3 linked regions of the Lonchura striata genome follow. The protein of the gene in region 1 purifies or fractionates together with the protein of each later gene. This does not show direct contact. Links are inferred from orthologs where the notes say so. Each region holds a gene or a part of one and is shown in the gene's direction. Other genes may lie near its edges. The genes, in order: ZMYND8, MTA3 and KDM5A.

Region 1 (6,720 bases):
TGTAGCAGGACGCACAATCATGGTGACTTAAGACAAAAATCTGTATTTTCCAGATGTACCCGTGCATTATACCAGGCTTGTACCTCCTGCTGCAAAATAAGCATGTGGACAAGAGAATAAAGAGAAATATATTTCAAGCTTCCCCTTTGATTCCTGACAGAATTCTTTTGTCTTTTTGAGCAGAGTAGCTGAGTGGCTGAATATACATACTATATCTGTCTGATGTGCTTTCTATGGTTTTGTTCCTGCTAATAACTGCAGGTTTATAAATTTTTCTTTTGCATTTTTGCTTCCTTGAATCAAGAGGAGAGGGGCCTTAGGCCTTTCCTAAGGCTGCTGTTGCCTCTCTCTCCACTGTGTGCTCATTCTGTCTGATAGGCCCAAGTGTGTCAGCTTGGCAGCGTTCCCAGGCACCATCAGCATTACAACATTCCCCGAGTCGGGTCTGGGTTAGCACAAAGCATTGACAAATTCTGTGTATTTACTTTTGTTCCCATGCTGTTCTTCATAGGGATTAGGATTTTTTTTTTTTTAAGAGAATAATATTAGAGTAGAACAGTCACACAATGAGCATAAATGTTAACGGCTGACAATCCTCACATTTACTGCTTAGAGGAATCAAAATTTGGATGTTTGTGTGCCAGGGGTGATATCTCTGAGCAACACAGGTCTTTAGGTGTTCAATTAAAAAGAAATCTATCTTGAATGATTTTCACTATTGAAACTGATGCAAGTATTCACTGAATGTCATGAATTTCCAGTGTGTTTCTGCTGCTGTAGTGGGCTGTGATTCGCTTTATAGCAGCACTCTCCCCAGCTTCTGCTTCATTCCTAAAACAGAACAAACGGTCAGTGTATCCGTGAGCCTTCCTGCTCCCTGCCCTGAAAAACATTGCAACATCTAAAAAGAGAAAATGCTTCCAGCAGGGACTCCAGCATTCCTTCTGATTTGATAATTTATACTCTGGGCTGTTAATCTGCTGTTGCAGGGTGAAATGCAGAGACAGAAGTGTAAGCACAGGATGGGCTGCTGTGGCAGTTCCCTGTGACAAGGCTACCTCAAGGAATAATCTGAATGCAGAATGGGACAATGCAGAGCAGGATGACTAATTTTACTGAGTGGCACAGTTATGAGTCACGTCAGCTCTCAGGCAGTGAGGTTTGTGTGGTAAAGTAGTTATATCGTGAGAGGTGCTGTATGGAGGTAAGGGAGGGCACTAGGTTTTGTTGTGGTGATTGTTTCTGGGATTATTAGCACTCGACTAAACGTGACATGCATATTCTGTTTGCAACTCTTGTAGGTTTATGGAAGAGGGCTTTTTATAGATGGTTTTGCACAGTCTGAGATCCTGCATGTTGTACTGGAAGAACGTTTATTTTTCTTTGATTGTTCTATCTCATTATATAATAATTATTGTTTCAATGTTAAGCGTCTCCCTCTACACCGTCCCTTGTTTTTTTTTTCTTGCTTTTGTTTAATAAATAATTATTTTATATTCAATGTGCTTCAGATTCACCCTTTCATCTGCAATTTCCATTGCAATCTTCATGGCTACAGAATGATAATATAACACAGATACAAAATTTTGAACAATAATGCAAAGGCATGGTGGAGGCTTTCTAAAAATTTAACCTTTAAGATCTTCATCTGGAGTTAAGACTTCCTTCTTGGCAAAACGATAATTTCTCCCACTTTCACTGCATTAGGGAAAAGAATGGAATCACATTTTTTAATCAAAAGCTTGGGAATTGGCCCAAGATCAAACCGGTTGCTTACACGCCGCTTTCTCATTTTGTTTCATTTGCAGCATTTTCGCAGGAGATAAAAAGGTAAAGCAAAAATATCTGAAAAATGATGTGGATGTTTTCGTGGGGGCAGACTGATAACTTGCCTCGTAGAGAAATCTGTGTTTTCAGGGCCTGTGTTGCATCTCAAAAAGCACCAAGTCCTAGAGGGTTAACGGACAGGAAGCTGCAGTTACAGCCGCTCCTAAGGAAGTCAGTTTTTGTCTAACAGCCCAGGCAGGCCGAAAGGTAGGGGCTGGGGGGGATTCCAGATCTCAGGGTCTAGGATGACATGGATATTTTTAGTTTTGCCCTGCAGCATTTTAAACACGGGGAGGGCCTGCACCAAGTGGTAGCAAGGCTCCGTGATAAAGCAATTTCAATTCTGGAGTGCTTTTTGGGAAAAGGAGACATGAGTGTTCCTGCTTAAGGCTCCTTTTTCCCTCTTAAGACTCAGCATACCACGAAATCACACTGTAGGTACATGGTTGCTGTGCTGCATGTTCATGTATTTAAATTCTGGAGCAGGAGAACCCTTCTCGGAGTCCTGAGTTGTTCATTTCAGTCCCTTCTGTGCACGTGCACTTTCAGTAAGTTCTGCTCTCCGCCTGTGGCCTCGCTTGCTCGGCCAGCGCAGCCCCAGCAACGCCAATTGCGCTTTCCGTGCGAACAAAAGAACAGCTCTGGCGACCTGGGCGAACTCTGCGTCCTTCGGGTTCAGAACAGCCAGCTGCCTTCATGAGGCGGCAGGCTGGGGCACACGGGCCGGGCAGGCGGTGCGCGGGGAGCCGCGGGCGGGCCCGGGCCGGGCCGGGCGGGCGGCGGCAGCCGGGCCTAGCGCGCCGGCCTGCTCCGAGCCCGGGATGGCTCCTGCTCCCGGAGCCGCACAAAGATAATCGCTCAGGAAGTGTCTCAGCCAATCCCCTGGCGCTTTACATGCGGATTTGCCGGGGCAGCCAATCCGGGGGCGGCTTTCATGGGGAAGACAGATCATCAAGCCCAAGTGCCAAGCCCTCCCTGCCCGAGTACTGAGAGCCTGTCCTCCATGTTTTATAAGTATTGACATAACACTGTGTTAACAATGCATCCACAGAGGTAAGCCTTGCTTTTTACATTGCTTTTTCTCTAAGACCTATGAGTTGTGGGTTGAGAGTGTGATTCTCTGTGATTTCTCGTGCAAAACTCACACCACAGCACTTATATTAAGTTGGAACTGTTTAAATTTGCTTTCTTGGGTCACATGGTTAGTAGCCATTAGCCACAGCTTTATTTTACAGTCTGGCAAAGCCTTGGCATGCCTACTTCTTCACAGGAGGATGGTGTTTTTAGAGTTTATCAAGATCCTGGTATTCCAAAGGAGGTTTCTGTCTCTGAGCAGTTTGCCAGCACTATTGTCTGTTGTGTCACATGCCTGCTGGAGAGAAAATGGAAGCTAGGGAGCAGATGCATTTAACTGCCCTACAGGGAGTCAAGCAGGGATAATGGCAGACAGAGGAACAGGCAAGTTTACCTTTCTAAACAGTGAATGGAACAGCTAAGATAAGTTATCTCTGAGAAAATATGGGATTTTTAAAAACCTAGGCATCAGCAAAAAGTGCTAATGGCAGATTGTAGATATTGGGCCTAGGTGGTGGTGTGCTGTTGCATCATGTTTTTTATGCAGCTTATCTTAACTTAAAATGATTATTGAACCTTTTTTCTTGCAGGAGTAATTAATACAATGCTTTTCTCTTTCTGAGGGACAATGTATGGTTAATATTTTGTTCCTTTAAAAGGGAGTTTTTATGCTGCAGATTTTGGAAATGGAGTGCTGCTCAGTAAAACGCAGCAGTGCATCTGTTTACAAATCTGATGCTTTATGGAAAATGTTTTTGAACTGTTAGCTTCCTTGCTTTGCATAGTTCAAATAAACTAATGCAACTTTTATCTGTGCCTTTTTGTTTTACATTGTACCAGCCACAGTTCTGTGTTGTGGAGTCCAGAAGATATAAAATCATGTGTGGTTCATGACAGTAGTACATGTTGTTCGTTCTTGGGTTTTTTTTTCCCTTTTAATTTTTTTTACTTTTGGTTAATTGCTACGTAATTATTTCAAGAAATTCCTTTTTGATCAATTCCAAAATCTGCCAGCCTGTTGTATCTCCTTAACTGGAAAAATGAGATGGGTGCTTGAACAGTTGGTAAGTAAGCAGCATGCTACTCTCTGAACATTTTTAATAGTTTTCCAAACATTTTGTTTTTACTGGGTCAGTCAGTGAAGTAGATGAAGTGATGTTGGTGGTTAGTCATATAAAAGATCAGATTTGTTTAGCGTCCATTTTAAGGGACTTGTACATGTAAACTGCTGTATTTGAATGCACTGTTTTTCTGATAATTTGTCTCTAAATTTTGAAGCTTTTACTTCCTGTTTACCTTAGGCCAGTGAAAAATATTCTACTTGCTGTTCGTTCCTAGATCATTAATTGCCATGTTTGCAGGGCAAAGCGCGTTTTCACCGTTCCTTGGGCTTTTCGGGTGTGATGAAAGTGCTGGTGCTCAGCAATGAAGTGACCTTAGGAAGTAAAGTAAATAACACTTAATGAGCATATGTTTCTGATACTATACAAAGTATAACCTCAGACAAGCTTGCTTGGTTTATAACTAATTTAGAAACATTTTGTGCTCTTTATAAAGATTTTAATTGTAGCGCCTGCATGCTTGTTTGAACAAGCTGTTTTTCAGTGATCACTAGGGCTGTTACAAAAGCAGAGAAGGGATGCTCTTTTGTGTTTTTAATGTAATTTTTGCACTTGTTTTAACAGTCCATACACATTTATTATTTTCGGAAAGAACTGAAAGCTAGGCTGGCTTTGCAAATAAATAACTGTGCTGAGGCACAGGGCATGCAAACTTTTCTAGCCCCTTGCCATGTATTTGGTAACGTTCTTTAACAGCAATTTACCTCTGTTTGCTTGTTTACCAGTGTGAGTATCTTACTTTGAATATCTCACTTTGGCTAAAAGCTTTCCTATCCTATCCCCCTCTCCATGTTTCCCCCTCCTCCCTTCCCCCCCCCTGCCCCCCCCAGTCCCCTAGGATTAGATTATAAGAATGTCTAGTTCAATTTAAAACCTGAAATACTGCTGGGGTACCACTGAATTTCATGTGATAGTATTTCTGTATGCAATTTTAATGCATCTTTCAGTATACGTGAAAGTGCTGACACAGCTAAGAAGTTATTCTGGTTTTTGCTCTTCAGTTGCTAAAAAACAGAAATTACATTTGGACACAATTTTCCTAGTAGTAGTTTATACATGCTAGCTGTTTACTTTCAGCCTTTAAGAATGGGCAACATAATATTTGTTTAATGTGAGGAAGCAGGGGTAAGTGATCTGCAATCAGAAAGCTTGTATTAAAATGGCTCCCACAGGTTTTGTTAAACCAGGATCTGTTTCAAATCTGCACCTCCAGACACGCTGCTGACAGTGAAGCGCATTTGTGTGAGCTGCCCTCGTGCATGTAATGAAACGGAGCATCGTGAGTCTGTTAAAGTTCACTATTTTCAATCACTCGGGTGTAATTCTTTTATAGTTCACAAAAAACAAATGTCTGCATTGCAGCAAGATGTCTGAGGCAAGGTAGAGACAGCAGCGCTGTGCCTCGGCTCAGCCCAATGGCACTGCTCCGCCAGCGCCGGAGCCAATTGCTGCAGCAGGCAGGTTAAAGATTGACAATTGCAGTGGCAAGGCTGAGAAAGGCCTTCTGGAAATTTCTGCCATCTTTGTTCCATCTAAGCAAAGCAAATTCAGACAAGCTGAAGGATTTCAGATGTGTATATTTTTTGGTGCTTTGTCAAGGTACAGTGTTATCACTCACTTCCCTAGGTTGTGTAATAAGCTGTTTTTTCTATTCAGGACAGATGGAATGTGGGTTTTTGTTTTAAGTGACAGATGCAGGGAAAAAGCACGTATTGCTTTCTCCCCAAGATTTTACTGGCCTGGATCTTGTTACAATCACAATTAGACAGGACATGTATGAAGCAATGCAGCTGAGGTTTATTCAGCTTGGAGCAAATGGCCATTATTCTGATTATAACTAGCAGTTAATCGTATAATTACACTGTAAGTTTTCTGGCTACTAGAGAGCAGTTTGAATTGCCCAGGATGAATATGATTAGGCATTATTATTTAGTGCCAACATCCAGTTACTTTTGTAATTAACTGGACAAAGAATGGAGTGGGGGGAAAACAAAGGAGTGATCTGGATTATAAATCATGGTGAAAACAGTAGCCTTTTAAAAGCTACATGCCTTTTTCATTCTTTGCAGGCAAACTGTTTTACTTGGAAGCTAAATAGTGCTAGGGAAAAGCTGAGCAATTTCTTTAAACAAATGACACTACTTAACATATTGGAAATGAAAAAAATGCAGAGTATAAACCACTCCAAATGTAACAGTCACCCCCCCTCACAGTAGGTAGGAGTATGAAATGTAGCAGAAAACCTACGTTGCTACTAAGAGAGCATGTAATGAAAGGAACATCATGCTCAAAAAGCAGAAATAGATAGATTACATCACAAATTTAGCCCTTCATATCATGTCCACAAACTTCAACTGGCTCGTCTTCCTCAGCTGTCTTCCATTTTGTGATACCACTTTTGCTTGAGGTTGTTGTTTTGTTTTGTTTCTGGTTTTGTTGCTTTGTTTCTCCTGTTCTGCCTTGCTTTCCAGTGTATTGTGTTGTATCACTTCCCAGCTACTGTGCATCCAGTAGCTCTAAAGTGATAGCTGATGGTCAGTTTTCCATAGTGGTGGTACTACTCCAGCATAATTGGTTAAAGGGTGATAAATCTTAGTAAAAGTTCTCCTCTGTCTGAAATTTAGGGTATTAATTTGAATTCCCTAAATATCTTGAAAATTGAACAAAACCTTTGGCCATGTAAAATGGAATAGACAGC
Region 2 (6,720 bases), on another chromosome or scaffold:
TTGTGAGGAAGCTTATAGGTTGGACGTGTTTTGATGGCGAGGTTGGCGTTGTTTAGATTCAGGCTTTTTGTAATTAAGGAACTTCTGAAATTGGGAAACTTTGAAATTAAATTCTATGGACACAAAATAGGATGCTGCATGACAGCTGCAATGGAAGTTCTCTTATTCTATGACTTCACAAAATGATAAAATTGTCAGAACTTTTTAAAACTTTCGTCTTCACTCTGCAATAATGGAAAATGAGAAAATTCAATTTGAAAAATGAAAATTCAGGAATAAAATTGTCTGATAGTAGATTCCCATTACCTTTGTCTATATAATTCCACATGCAAGAAAGAAGCCTGAAATTGCCTATAAATAAAAGGTGAAACTTTTTGTACTATCTCTAATGGAAAAAAATTATTTCATAGTAGTGTTCTTTTAAATACATTAAGAAAATTGTATAGCTCCAGTTGACCTTATAGGCATGTAATAGACATGATTTAGGTGCATCTGATGAAGCTAAAGAGAAAAAGCCAAAAAAGAGGGTGCAGCCTGGATAAATCAATAGACACTCTGTGGGAGATACTGTGAAAGGTCCTTGGTCATCTCTTCTCTCAGTGTCTGATGTCCATCTCTTTCAGGACTGCTGATCTTGCTCACCATGGGGGCAGCTGGCCAGCCTGGACCATGGAACTAGTCTGTGTTTTAAAATGATCCTTTTAACACTCCATTCTTTCTTTTTTGGCTTTTCTTTGGAGGACCGTGAAGAGGAATGATGGACTGCTCACGGTGGCACAACAAAGAAAATTGTAAAATGAAGCTCTCAGGTAACCCATGTCTCTATCAGGAATAATCTCTCTTGTGTCTTGAATTAGGTTGCCACAGAAATGTGGTTTCTTTTGAACAGCACAAGTGATATCAGTCTATAGCTAAACATAGTTCATATACCAGGTTAAGACAAAGCTCTTATCTGTTTTTGGGGTTTTTTTCTTAACAGTTTTGTAGTTGAAACAAAAGTTTTCCATTCTATTTAATCTAGAAGAATGAAGGTGTTTACATAACTTTAATTTTTCCCATTCTGTACACTGAGAGAGCACTGAATATAAACTGTATCCAGGCTTTTGTGTATGTTACACCAAAGTAAAATGTACTGCCAGTCCTGCAACTCTGTATCCACTAGCTGGCTGTGCCCACTCCCAAAGCAGTGACCTTGAGCTATGGATGTACTGAGCACCTCGGGCTGTGCTGCTGCTGTGCGAGCCGTGTTACTGCGAACAAGAGGGCCCAGTGATTCAGTACTGAGGTATATAAATGTCATTATTTCTCTATTTATCTGGTCTGCGATGCAGCCTCAGTCTGGCAGCTGTAAGTAAGGGTGGTTTTCTAACTATTTTCAGGCTGTCCACCTGAAAGGACAGGCTGGGACCATGGGCTTCCCTGGGCTGCTCTCTCACCTTCTGTATCTCCAGGAGTTGCTTTTCTCTTCCACAGGCCATGCCTTCAGCTGATGGAAGCAATGGTCTGTGTCTGTCCAAATCTACTCCTTGCTGGATGAGGGGACATCGTAAACTTCCTAGTGAGGGCAGTCCCCCTAATGTCCAAGTGCAGACTTAAAATGAGGAAAAGAGCTTGGAGGCATTCTGTTTAATTGGAAATGTCTGTGCCAAACCAAATGTTCGAATTAACTTCTCTTGCCTAAAAAGTTTAACCTCTTTCATTTGCCCAAGCAGTAAAACAGGAGAGTAAAAGTAACACCTCAGGTCTCTGCTAAGGTCATGTTATTGTGCCTTTGGAAATACCCAGCTGGACAGAGTTGGTACTTCCCAAGGAGCTTCTGCTGACTTGTTTTCAGTTCCCACAGATGTTCAACAGAGGAAAATTCCCCATTTTTCCTTTCACTGCTTGAATGTGCTGCTGTTTTTAAAAGAAAAATAAATTACTGTATCATGTGCCTGTTACATGTGTTTCAGAAAGTTGCTTCTCAGTTGGCGTTTTGATACAAAGTTGTAGTCACTTGAGAAATTAAAAGTGTCCTGGAAGTAGACAAAACTTTATAGTCCCAGATTTGCTTAGAGGAGAAAAGAAAGACAGGATATAATCGTTTGAAACACCAAGGATGATCACCCTCCTTCTAATCAACGCATCTTCCTGCAGCTCAGGATGAAGTGAAATTTTAACTTGGTAACGCTCAAGCTGCACACATAAATATCCAGGACATAAAACCAATAATAAATCATCCCCTTCGTTGCAGGAAGATAATAACAAGCATTTATTTTCCAAGAAAGCATGCCACAGCAGGATCAATTTGTTTGTAAAGTGTATGGATTGTTGCTTATGGTGTAAACTTTGTATAAACAGGGGGAAATGGCTTCATGTTACATCAGTATTGATGTTTTTTAAGCATCTCTCTCATCGGATGATTTGTAAGCATCTCTTTCGACGCTTCCTGCCTCCGAGATGAGCTGCTAGATTTATCTTTATTCTGTCGTAGATGTTTTCTGCTGCCTGTTGCGAGCAAGCTGCATCCTGCGGACGGCGGAGAGCTCCGAGAGGCACCGTGCCCGCGGCGGGCTGGGGGCGCCGGAGCCGCCCGCGGGACCGCGCTACGGAGGCGAACAAAGGGGCCGCCAAACCCATCACCAACAGGTGCTGCGCAAGAAACAAACTTTTCCTGAGATACTACTCAGAGCTGCCAAAGGAGAGAGATCCCTCAGCCGCTCCGGGGAAGAGGCAAACACCAAAAAACCCCCAAGTTCCGAAAGGGTCGGAACAAAGCGGCGGGAGCCCGCAGAACGTGGCGTGCCTCGGGCAGGGCGGGGAGCGTGTCCGCGCACCCGCACCTCCCCCGGCGCCGCCCGGCCGGACCGCCCCACCCCACCTGCGGCCGGGCCCGGCCCGGACCCGCCCCGGGGCCGGTGCGCGGGGGGAGCGGCGGGGCGCCGGTTTAACCCCTTCCCCGCCGGCGGCTCCGGAAGCGGCGGCGGCCCCGTGGGGCGCTGTGTCCTGCGGCCGGGCGGCGAGGGGTGGCGGCGCGGCGCGGGGGGGGCGGCGGCGGGAGCCGCTCCCTCCTTGCCCAGCCCGGCCCGGCAGAGGCGGCAGGAGGAGGAGGAGGAGGAGGAGGGCGGCGCAGAGCGCAGACATGGCGGCCAACATGTACCGAGTGGGAGGTATGTGGGGACGCGGCAGCGCCCGCCCGGAGCCCCCCGCGCCCGCCCGGGGGTCCCGCCGGGCCGCGGGCCGTGCGCGCCGCGCCGGGGCGAAGAGCGGCGCCCCGGCCCCCGGCGGGCGCGGTCCCGAGCGGGGCGGCCGGGCCCGGGCGGGCGGCGAGAGGAGGCAGCCGGTCCGGCGAAGGGTCGCCGGGCCCTCCGCGGGGCGGAGGACGCAGGTTCCTCCCCCGCCAGCCCCGCGCGCCGGGTGGGAGCCCGGCCCCCGCCGCCGAGGAGGAGAAGGGCAGCGCCGCCCTCCGCGGGAAAGCGGGGAGCGGCGCCGCCGGCTGCCAGCCCCGCGCCGCGCCTCGGGCCGGGCACGGCCGCCCTTTGCGCCTCGCCTCCTCCCCGCAGAGCGGCGGAGGGGCCGAGCGCCGGGCCCCGCGGGGCGAGCAGGGGCCGCCCGCCCGGCCGTGCGCCCCCGGGCCGCGCCCGCCCCGCCGCGGCCTGGCGGGCCCTGGCGGCGCGGGGCGGTGCGGGGCGGCGCGGGGCGCTGCGCACGGACAGCCCGAGCCCACCCCGGGGCCGCTTCCCTCCGCGCCGCTTCCCTGCCCCCGCGCCCTCCCTCGCTCTCACGGCGGAGTTTCTCCGCGCCTTCCTTGGTCTGCTGGGGATAAATAATTAATCTGGCTGCGTAACCGGGGGATTTCTGTCAGCTTCCCTTGCTCGCCGCCGTGACCCCTGAGCAGCGCCCTGATTCGTGACTGCTTGGCGGTGGGGAGAGGGCGTTTAGGCGGTGAAAAACACGGCAAACGTTTGTCTTCCCACCCCGAGCCTGTCGAAAATGACACGGATAACTTTGGCTCGCTCACGGAGGGAACGAACGTGGCAGTGTGCCCAGTGCTGTGGCTCAGGTGCACTGCTCAAGTTAGGTATGTAGTACTGGGTGCTCAAAAATCGCTCCATCCTCTTGCTCTCTCAAAATCCAGAACCGAGAGGAAAGATGTGTGGAAATGAGAGGTGACAATAGTTTGAATGCTTTGAGATACACTGATGGAGCCACAAATCTTCCATCTGAATGCTGTCTCATTAGAGCACTTAGATTTACTCATGAAAGTAATCCTTCTCTGAGCAGGTAGCACAGAGGGTTTACCTCATGGGTCACCAATTATTATTTTTTTTTTTCGTTGTAGTCATAATAAACAATTGTGAGCACTATCCAGAGATCTTATTCTTTCATTAGAACTACCTGAAGTTCTTTTTCATTGTACCGTAGTGTCAAACTGTTGCAGAAGGCTTTTATACATTGTTATAGTTCCTCATCCGATTTTTAGAAACAAAGTGTGCAAGGGGCATGGTACAGAAGTCCAACATCAACTTTAAAGTGTGGTTGACATTTGGTGGGTAGTTCTTCATTGGACAAAAACAAGTTTTCAGAAAACTATGAAGGAAACACACTTGTCAATTCTTTGTATGTTACATGGGAGCAGCTTTCAGGATATGAGTAAATTTCCATTCACTTTATTAAGATATTTTTATATTAATGATGTTGAAAGAGACTTCCTACAAGATCCTTGCTAATTTCATGACAATTCCTGCTTAATATAGTTTGCATTTTAGTGGACAGAGATTACAAGAGCAAGTATCATAAAACATACATTACTCATTGGGACAACTGTACTGCCACAACACCTGATAATAAATGTGACGTGTCGTCTCTTACAGAAATGTAAATCTCGGTAATATGGAAAGTCACTAAAGTGCTCAGTTCTTAAATCTTCCCTAATTGATTGTGAGAAGTTGCTCCTTCCCTATCAAGATTAATGAGGTGTATGGATTACTAGATTACGGTGTAAATTTCAACACAAAGCCTTTAACTTTTTCCCAGCATGGTTGTTAAAGCAGGTGTAGTGCAGTTAAAACCAGAATTGAGGAACAAATTATATTAAATCTCAGTGTAGAAATACATCACGGTCCCAACATTTATGAAGAAATCTCAGCCCTTTCAAAACTTCTTGTTTTAGAAGAAAACTTTTGCACTAATAGTGATATGTCTTTACATAATTTTTGGTATTTCAGTGACTTTCCCTTTTTTCCTTTCAGATTATGTTTATTTTGAAAATTCTTCCAGCAATCCATATCTCATTAGGAGAATTGAAGAACTTAACAAGGTACAAATATCTAAGATTCTTTCTTAGCCTTTGGCAAAAGTCAGGGTTCTTGTTAAAACCTGAGAATTATTTCTATCCCATAAGATTTCTACTGTAGGAGGGATTTATGAGGGTTACTGAAAACTTGCTATGTGATATCCTCTTACTCGACCCTGTTACCTAAGGAAGCACCCAGTTGTTCATCCCTGGTGAACAGGATTACTCTGCTGCAAAAATTTTCTAACGAATTCTATGAATTCTTGGAGAAATGAATAAATTTCATTCTCTGGCTGACGATGACACTGTGAATCCATCTGGAATCTGACACTGTGAAGCCATCATGTAACGAGTCTGCTTTTAGATAGACATCTGAAGAGCTGGCAGGTACCAGCGAGACTTTGATCGAGTAACACAATGTGTGACTTCTGTGGCTTTATTGCTCTGCCTATTGGCAGCTGTGAATGAAGAATGGGCTTTTGAATAAAGTACAAACTGTGTCCTCTGTCTTTATCATGAGTGTATTTTCCTGAAAAATGGAGGCTCTGTTGACAGTCATTTTGGGGAAAGCATGATTATTTTTCTTCACTCTGACACTACTAAGAATAGTGTGGTGTTTCTATGGGTTTTAAAATTATTTTTAATATTTTTGTATTTTTTTTTTACTTTTCCCTCAAGCAGTATTAAAACTTACTGATGCACTACATCAAAAGTTAATTGTTAAAATGCTCATCATGATGTAAGTAATGATTAAGATATTTCTCCCCAGTGGTTAGAAAGTAAATTAAAAAATTGGTGACTTGCAAGTGGTTTTCTTCTTATTAATGAAACATAACAATATGCCATAGCAGACATCAACCACATTAGCTGTTAGTGCTGTCCAATGCAACATCCACTGAACTTGTGCATGGCAAATAATTTTTGACTTTTATTGGAGAAGAAAATTTTTTTATTCACAGTAATTGACATGATTCCAATCATATATTGAATGTAATGTTTATTATCTTTAAACTGCATTGCTATAATTTAATCTTGCTTATGCAGGGTAGAAGAGAGTCATGTATTCATTTTTTTTCCTTAAAGGGAGGCTGGAGGTTGTAGTCCACACATCTTGAATGTGAATGGTTTGCTTTCATATGTTAAAGGTATTGAGCAAATGTGAAGATATTATGTAAATATGTAATAAAATGCTTTGATTATTGTTCTAATAGGGACAATATTTTTTTTGTAAGAAGCTTAATCAAAACATTATACTTTTTAGTATTAAGTAAGTAACTCAAGGTAAAAAACTACTTTTGTACCCTTAAAGGAGAAGGATAAAGTTCTTCAAATATTAGTAAATTCTTTATAGAAGATTGTGGTCCTCATAATGAGTAATTAAAACAGTGAACTAAACTGCTCTTTTATTTTAGGAGCTGTTGTGACTTTCTCAAATAAATCTTTCA
Region 3 (6,720 bases), on another chromosome or scaffold:
AACCCTGGGCACTGTAAGAAACCATTAAATATGCAAAAGTATAAGTATTGCCTGCCATAACTTGCTGTAGGACTAGAAACTCCTTAAACAGTGCACTTAGAGAAACAACACTAGAAAGAAAGAGGCAACCCAGGCACAAGGTGAGCGCTTTACTGCTCAAGAGCGGCAGACACTGAAAGATGGAAGAAGGACGCACAGCAGGCACAGGGCAGACCTAAAGGTGCCCCAGGGCCAGCCAGGCTAGCAGGCGGGGAGGAAAGGCTCCGGGAGCCGCCTGTCCCGGCGGCAGCAGCCCCACACTCACTACCTTGCGCAGCGCGGGCTCCCCGCAGCGCGGTCCGCTGCGCTCATCGTGCCCCTGCGGAGAGCCGGGCCCTTCAGGGGTGGGGGACAGCGGCTTTGGGCACCCCGGTAGGCGGGCGAGGGGGGTGCCCGGCGGGATCCCCGATGGAAGAGCCCCGAGATAGAGGTCCGGGGATGGGGTCCCGCCTCCGCCACCGCCACCGCCTCCGCACGGCCCCAACGGCCGAGCAACCGCCACACCGGCCCCGCCGCGGCTTAAACGGCGCCACAGCCCGCCCCGCGGCCTCCTCCAATCACAGACAGGCTTCCATGCGGCGCCGGGAGCCTGCACCAATCAGCGCTCGCGTCGCGGGCGTCAGCGGTTCCGCGCCGGCGCGTCTGGGAGTTGTAGTTCTGGGGTGGGCACAGGGCCTGCGAGGAGCGGGGGCCTGTGCTTATGGAGCCGCGCTTGTGACAGCAGCGGGTCGGGCTGCGGGCAAAATAACAGCAACCTTTATCCGCTCTGGCAAAAACGCCCCTTTTCCTTTGAAAATGACCTGGCATTCGGAAGCAGCCACAAGAAGTTACTGGCACAAATTCTGACTGAATTGAGTGTGTTCTTTAGGTCATCCTGCTGCCTTTTAGCCTCCTCATCCTCCTCATGTATTCCCGGTAGTACCTAGTAGTAGTGTTGCCATTTATGCACCAAACGATTTCCTAATTTATTAAGTGTGCTGGAGAAAAAAAAATTGCTCAGCAATAAGCTAGGGTTCTTTTTTCCTTAAGACTTTGTGTCACAGGGACATTCTTCTCCGTCTCAGGATTTATCATAGAGGTGCACAGAAGGAAGAAAGAGAAAACAATTTCTATTTCTGCTCCTTGTTTTTTGTGGAATGTGCTTGGAGAATTGTTTACCTGAAATGATTCCTTGATTGGATTCTGGTGAGGATTGTTTGAGCCTGATGGCCAATCCAATCCACCTGCATCTGAACTCTCAAGAACAGGGTCACAGTTTGTGAGTGAGTTAGATATGGTAGTTAGAACAAGTAGGTTTGTAGTTTTACTTATATAGTATATTAATGTATTATAGCAGTTATAATAAAGAAATCATTCAGCCTTCTGAACTAGAGTCGGACATCATCATTTCTTCCCACTGGGTTCACTTGCATTTTACAATAACTTTGTTTAAAAGACATGGACTTTCTATATGACAAGGGAAAAAAAAAAAGCTTATTTAAGAAACCACAAGGTTCTTCCTCATCACAATTTGCAACTTCCTTGTGAGGGGAAGAGGAGGGACAGGCATTTATCTCTTTTTGGTGACCATTGACAGGAGCCAAAGGAATGGCCTGGAGCTGTGCCAGGGCAGGTTTAGGTTGGATATTACAAATAGGTTTTTCTCCCAGAGGGTGGCTGGGCACTGGAACAGCTCCACAGGGCAGTGGGCACAGCACCAGCCTGCCAGAGCTCGAGGAGCATTTAGACAACGCTCTCAGGCACATGGTGACTCTTGGAGTGTCCTATGCAGGGCCAGGAGTTGAACTTGATGATACTTGTGGGTCCCTTCCAGAGAGAAGAACTCTGTGATTCTTCTTCAAATCAATTTTCTCATGAAATAGAGAAAATAGCAGGGTAGATAATTTCTCTTGGCAAAGTCCAGAAGATAGGCTGCTGTTACGGACTGGCCCTGATGACCGTTGTTGGTTGGTCCCTTCCAGCTCAGGATATAAACTTTTTCTGAGGCTGAAACAGAACACCAGCACGGAGGTTTGAATAATCAGTAAGAATAGAGTGAAATGTGGCATTTGGTAGATAGCGAAGGCACAGTTTTGGTTGAACACAAAAAAACATACTTTGGAAGACCGTGTTGCAACAGATAGGTAAAAGATACAGATCTCTCATTGACAGGAGCCGAGGGAACGGCCTGGAGCTGTGCCAGGGCAGGTTTAGGTTGGATATTACAAAAAGGTTTTTCCCCCAGAGGGTGTCTGGGCACTGGAACAGCTCCCCAGGGCAGTGGCACAGCACCAGCCTGCCAGAGCTCGAGGAGCATTTGGACACCGCTCTCGGGCACACGGTGTGACTGGGGATGTGCTGTGCAGGGCAGGCAGCCGGACTCTGTGACACTTGCGCCTCCCTCCCCATTCCGACACCTCCCTCCGTCACCGCCGCTGCCGGGGGCGAGCTCGGGGCGGGGCCCGTGAGAGGGCGGCCCCCATGAGGGGGCGGGGCCCGTGAGGGGCGGGGCTCGGGAGGGGCGGGGCCTCCAGCGGCGCTCCTGACGTCCGGCACAGACAATGGGCGACGCGGCCCCGCGGAACCGGAAGAGAATGGCTCGCACTTCGTCACACATTCCTCCGCGGCGGAAGTGGGGTGGCCCCGCCCTCCCCGGCCCCCGGTCCCTCCTGTCGCGGCGCAGTGCCCTGAGAGGCGGCGGGCGGGGCGGTTTGCCCTGAGCTCTGTCGCGGGGGCTTGTCCGGGAGCTGAAAGCGAGGAAGCCACCTCGGCAGAGGAAGCGCTGCGGAGGAACTACTTTTTGGATCGGAAGGCAACGTGCGAGAGCTTCCGGGAGGCCGTAGAAGGGACGTCACTTCCGGCGGGCTGGGAGGCGAGGAGCGGGGCTCGGGCGGGGGCAGCGGTCCCGGCCGGGACAGCGGCAGCAGCGCTTGGCAGCACATTCCGCCGCCCCGCCCGGCAGCGCCGCCAGGGGATGCGCCTCGGTCCCCGGCCCAGCCCCTGAGCCCCCGGCCATCCCTCTCCGCCCTGCGCTCCCGGCGGCGGCGGCGCCCCCCTCCCCCTGCGGCCATGGCGGGGGGCGGCGGGTCGCGCTATGCGGCCGAGTTCGTGCCGCCGCCCGAGTGCCCCGTATTCGAGCCCAGCTGGGAGGAGTTCAGCGACCCACTCGGCTTCATAGGCCGCATCCGCGGCCTGGCCGAGAAAACCGGCATCTGCAAGATCCGGCCCCCCAAGGTACCGCCCGCCTTGGCGGCTGCGCCTGCCGGATCCCCGGGTGGTCCGAGAGCGGCCGGGCCCTCGGTGGCCGGGTGGAGGACGTGAGGAGCTGGACAGGCCAGTCCCCCCCTCTCCGCACACACTCGGGGTTTCGTGTGTCGCTTTCCTTAGGCCGCGGTGTCCGTGCCAGGGACGCCGAGGAACCTGTAGAATCTTTGACCTCCGAGCGGGGCTTTGTAGAGGCTGCTTTGGAGCAGCTGAGAAGCGAATAGTGCGTGGTGGTGCCCGGGACTTCGTGCTATTTTTATTTCCAAAACGCCAGCAGTCGACTTGTGAAAGCTGGGAAGGCTTTGTAGGTGAAATCGGGCGTTTGCTCCGGGTGGGAAAGAGGGAGAGGGAAGGGTATTTGTTCGTTTTGTATCATTGTTCATAAACACAATTTTTAGACCGTTAAGAGGAGGGTGGCCAACCTGTTGGTGTGCGGGCATTACGTTTGTTCACAGCTGTTCGGGAGGTATCCGCTTAATCTCTCCGATGGCTTGGGAGTTACAGGTCACCTGCCTAGTGACCAGGCGGGTCATCACAGGGAGAGCTTCAGGCAGCTTGGCAAAAGGCACTTACATCAGTGAGTTATTAGAGTACAAATACACTTCAAATGCAGCTGTTAATAAGAGACTTGAAAACAGTGAGAGAGGTAAAAACCTGAAAAGAAAGTGTGTAACTGAGAACAGTGTAGATATGGGGGTTGCTGATTGGATTTCCTGGTTCTCTCCTGACCTGTTTTGGTTCCTGGAATGTGTTTAGTTAGTTTAGTGACATGGTGAAAACTTGACCTCCAAGGGGCTGCCCTTTCTAAAATAAGCTGCATAGCTCAGTTTGAGAGCCCACAAGGAACAGATCCAGATCCTGTTCATTGAGGATAACTGAAACTTCTCTGGCTGTTGGATGCATTTGCGTTTCTCTGAGACTGCTGAGCTGCTTGCCTTTCAGGGTTTCACAGGATGCACGTGTTGGGTTGATTTATAGTCTGCAATAATTGCTAAATCAGACATTTCATACTACCCTGACTGATTAATTGCTATTTTCTATTATTAGAAGTTGTAAATATTTAAGGCTGTGCTCAAGGCCTTTACATGCTGCAGCAGATTATGTGGCTTGTCCACCTGTAATGGCGTGTCCTTCTTCTGGTGTAGCCACTGCCAGGTGGATGCTCTGCTGTAACTAAAGCTTTGGTAAAAAGTGCTAAAAAGCTGATTTTCTTGTTTTGATGTAACAGGGTTTGAGAAATGGGAGTGGGAGGCACTTGTAGTTGCAAGGACCCCTGATGTTGCTGAGAAAATCATTATGTATGGCTCCATTTCTGTTAAAGAATTGGGCTCACAACTTGTGGTCTTGTCTTTATTGAAATGACTGTAGACAAGCAGAAAACCTTTAGATATGTTATGATATGCCTGGTTTAGCCTTTGTTGCTGTTGACACTGAGGATTTTTCAGTGTGCAGGATATATGGATTCTTTGTTTAAAGTAAATAAATAACCGATCAGCTAAAGAGTGTATTTCATGTTTAAGCATAGCATGAGGTAATGCATACTGAGATGCTTTGAACCTTATTTTCTTTGACATTTTTGAATCTGTGAGGATCTTTATTCAAACTAAAATGTGGTGGGAGGAACATTGTTGTATAAGCAGAAAATATCTTAAAATTGGAAAATTATATCACCGGTTGTTCTGAGAAACTAATTTACTATTGGAAGCTTGTTTACTGAGGCATTATTAGGGTGTTTGGTTTTGTGCATTTTTCAGAGAAGTTTCTGGAAGCAGTAAAATGTCTTTCTGTCTCTGCTTAGGACTGGCAGCCTCCATTTGCATGTGAAGTACAAAGTTTTCGTTTCACTCCACGAATTCAGCGCCTGAATGAACTGGAGGTGAGCTTTTTCACTGTTGATATAATTTTGTGCTTGCACTGAAAGAAAGAGGTCTTCCTGCCTGAGATTTGCAGCTTGCCAGGTTTCTGGATGGGGGACACTTCAGAAGCCTGTAGACCACATCAGTGTTTATACTTGGCAGTGGCAAAGTTTGTATAAAATAACCCTCCCTCGCTTTGAGAAAATTCTGTTTTTTATTTTATTCCCCCAAAATAACCACAGGAGTTTTTCTCATTCACCTGATAGTGTCTAGAATGAATTCCAAATATCATGTGTTTAGTAAGAGCAGCCAGTATCTAGCCTTCAGAGCTCCACAGGCAATGATTTTTTCCTCTTAAAATATTTCCTGCTGCTCTGATACCTCTGGTTACCTCATACTGTCATAATAATGCCTTTTAATCCTTAAAATTATTTTTATAGGTTTATTATAGCTGATAATGTTATGATTTTAAAACTTAAGTGAGCAGTATGACCTCCATTCTGTCCTGATTTTTCCTTATCTCTGCAACATCTCTCAAAGCCTTGCTTTGTTCACCTACCAAAATGTCATTTGGCTTGTAAATGGGTCTCCTTATGGAAAGTGATTTGGGTACTCCAGAAATACTTCAGAGAAGAGACCCTTTGTGTGGATAAGGAATATATAAAAACTGGCACATACAAAAACTTGGTAATTCCCCTCCTCCCCACAGATAATTGTCTTGTTCACACAGGACACCACTTCTTTTTGCCATGGTTGGGATTAAAGCTTGAGATGCTATTTCTTGTTTGGACTGAGGTGTTTATTAGTTCTTATCTATGTTACCGTCTCACAAGCCATGAGTTCTACAGCACTTCACTCTAACACACTAAAAACATGGAGCTATATCTCTCTCTCTACAAGGCCTTTTAATCTCTAATTAAGAAATGACACAAATTATTTTTACTTTTAACCTAATAACTAACCACCTGTGGCCCACAATGTGGACTTTTTTATCTGATTACATTATACCACCCAAACCCATGGAGAAGAAGGTAAAGAGGGACTAAAAACCTCTCTCTTGCTTTATATTAATTACTGTGTTCTAAAACTTAAAGCTCTAAGTTTTCTACCATGTGATATTACACACTTCTATTCAAACTACACACCCATAATCTTAGTTTTATCATTCTATTTTGGAAGCCTTCTCCACAGCCTCAGGTCAAATGCAGTCAAATGTGACTGTTGGCGGGGGTCACAATAATTTTTCTTGTGTTTCTGCTTGGAATGATGATCATTTCATAAGCATGCATTTTGCTTTCAGGCCAAGAAATTATTTGGTAGGAATTTAATTTATAGTGTCTTAAATGCAGAGAGAAAAGCATATGTAATTTTCTTTTTGTGAAGTGTTTTTTTAAACAAAATTTATATTTTTAGGGGTTTTTTTACCTGATAAAGAAATACCTCCCAGGCAAGTTCCATGTTGAAAATGGAAACACTATAAAAACTTACCTTGTTTTCTCTCAGGACTGTAAGATTTTGCCACATTTGGTTTTGAACATACGTGATTGTCTACCTTTACTGATTCCAGGCAATGACAAGAGTG

What was found.
Region 2: the proteins of ZMYND8 (region 1) and MTA3 purify together in Homo sapiens (affinity purification with mass spectrometry, with the first as the bait; 3 studies listed by BioGRID). This does not show direct contact. The link is inferred for Lonchura striata from reciprocal best matches to the Homo sapiens genes ZMYND8 and MTA3.
Region 3: the proteins of ZMYND8 (region 1) and KDM5A purify together in Homo sapiens (affinity purification with mass spectrometry; 3 studies listed by BioGRID and IntAct, with this or other methods). This does not show direct contact. The link is inferred for Lonchura striata from reciprocal best matches to the Homo sapiens genes ZMYND8 and KDM5A.

The regions. Positions count from the first base shown.
Region 1 is NC_134619.1:8,586,588-8,593,307, forward strand, and holds the start of ZMYND8 (MYND-type zinc finger-containing chromatin reader ZMYND8), read left to right. Parts: upstream 1-2,749; 5' UTR 2,750-2,866; coding exon 2,867-2,880; intron 2,881-3,014; exon of another isoform or gene 3,015-3,285; intron 3,286-3,439; exon of another isoform or gene 3,440-3,965; intron 3,966-6,720. UniProt on the Homo sapiens protein: Chromatin reader that recognizes dual histone modifications such as histone H3.1 dimethylated at 'Lys-36' and histone H4 acetylated at 'Lys-16' (H3.1K36me2-H4K16ac) and histone H3 methylated at 'Lys-4' and histone H4 acetylated at 'Lys-14' (H3K4me1-H3K14ac).
Region 2 is NC_134605.1:14,012,256-14,018,975, forward strand, and holds the start of MTA3 (metastasis-associated protein MTA3), read left to right. Parts: upstream 1-3,024; 5' UTR 3,025-3,121; coding exon 3,122-3,149; intron 3,150-5,231; coding exon 5,232-5,299; intron 5,300-6,720. UniProt on the Homo sapiens protein: Acts as a component of the histone deacetylase NuRD complex which participates in the remodeling of chromatin.
Region 3 is NC_134607.1:11,876,730-11,883,449, reverse strand, and holds the start of KDM5A (lysine-specific demethylase 5A), read left to right. Parts: upstream 1-3,022; 5' UTR 3,023-3,087; coding exon 3,088-3,252; intron 3,253-3,645; exon of another isoform or gene 3,646-5,080; coding exon 5,081-5,158; intron 5,159-6,641; exon of another isoform or gene 6,642-6,705; coding exon 6,706-6,720. Other genes in the region: CCDC77 (coiled-coil domain-containing protein 77), read right to left, coding at 308-351. UniProt on the Homo sapiens protein: Histone demethylase that specifically demethylates 'Lys-4' of histone H3, thereby playing a central role in histone code. Does not demethylate histone H3 'Lys-9', H3 'Lys-27', H3 'Lys-36', H3 'Lys-79' or H4 'Lys-20'.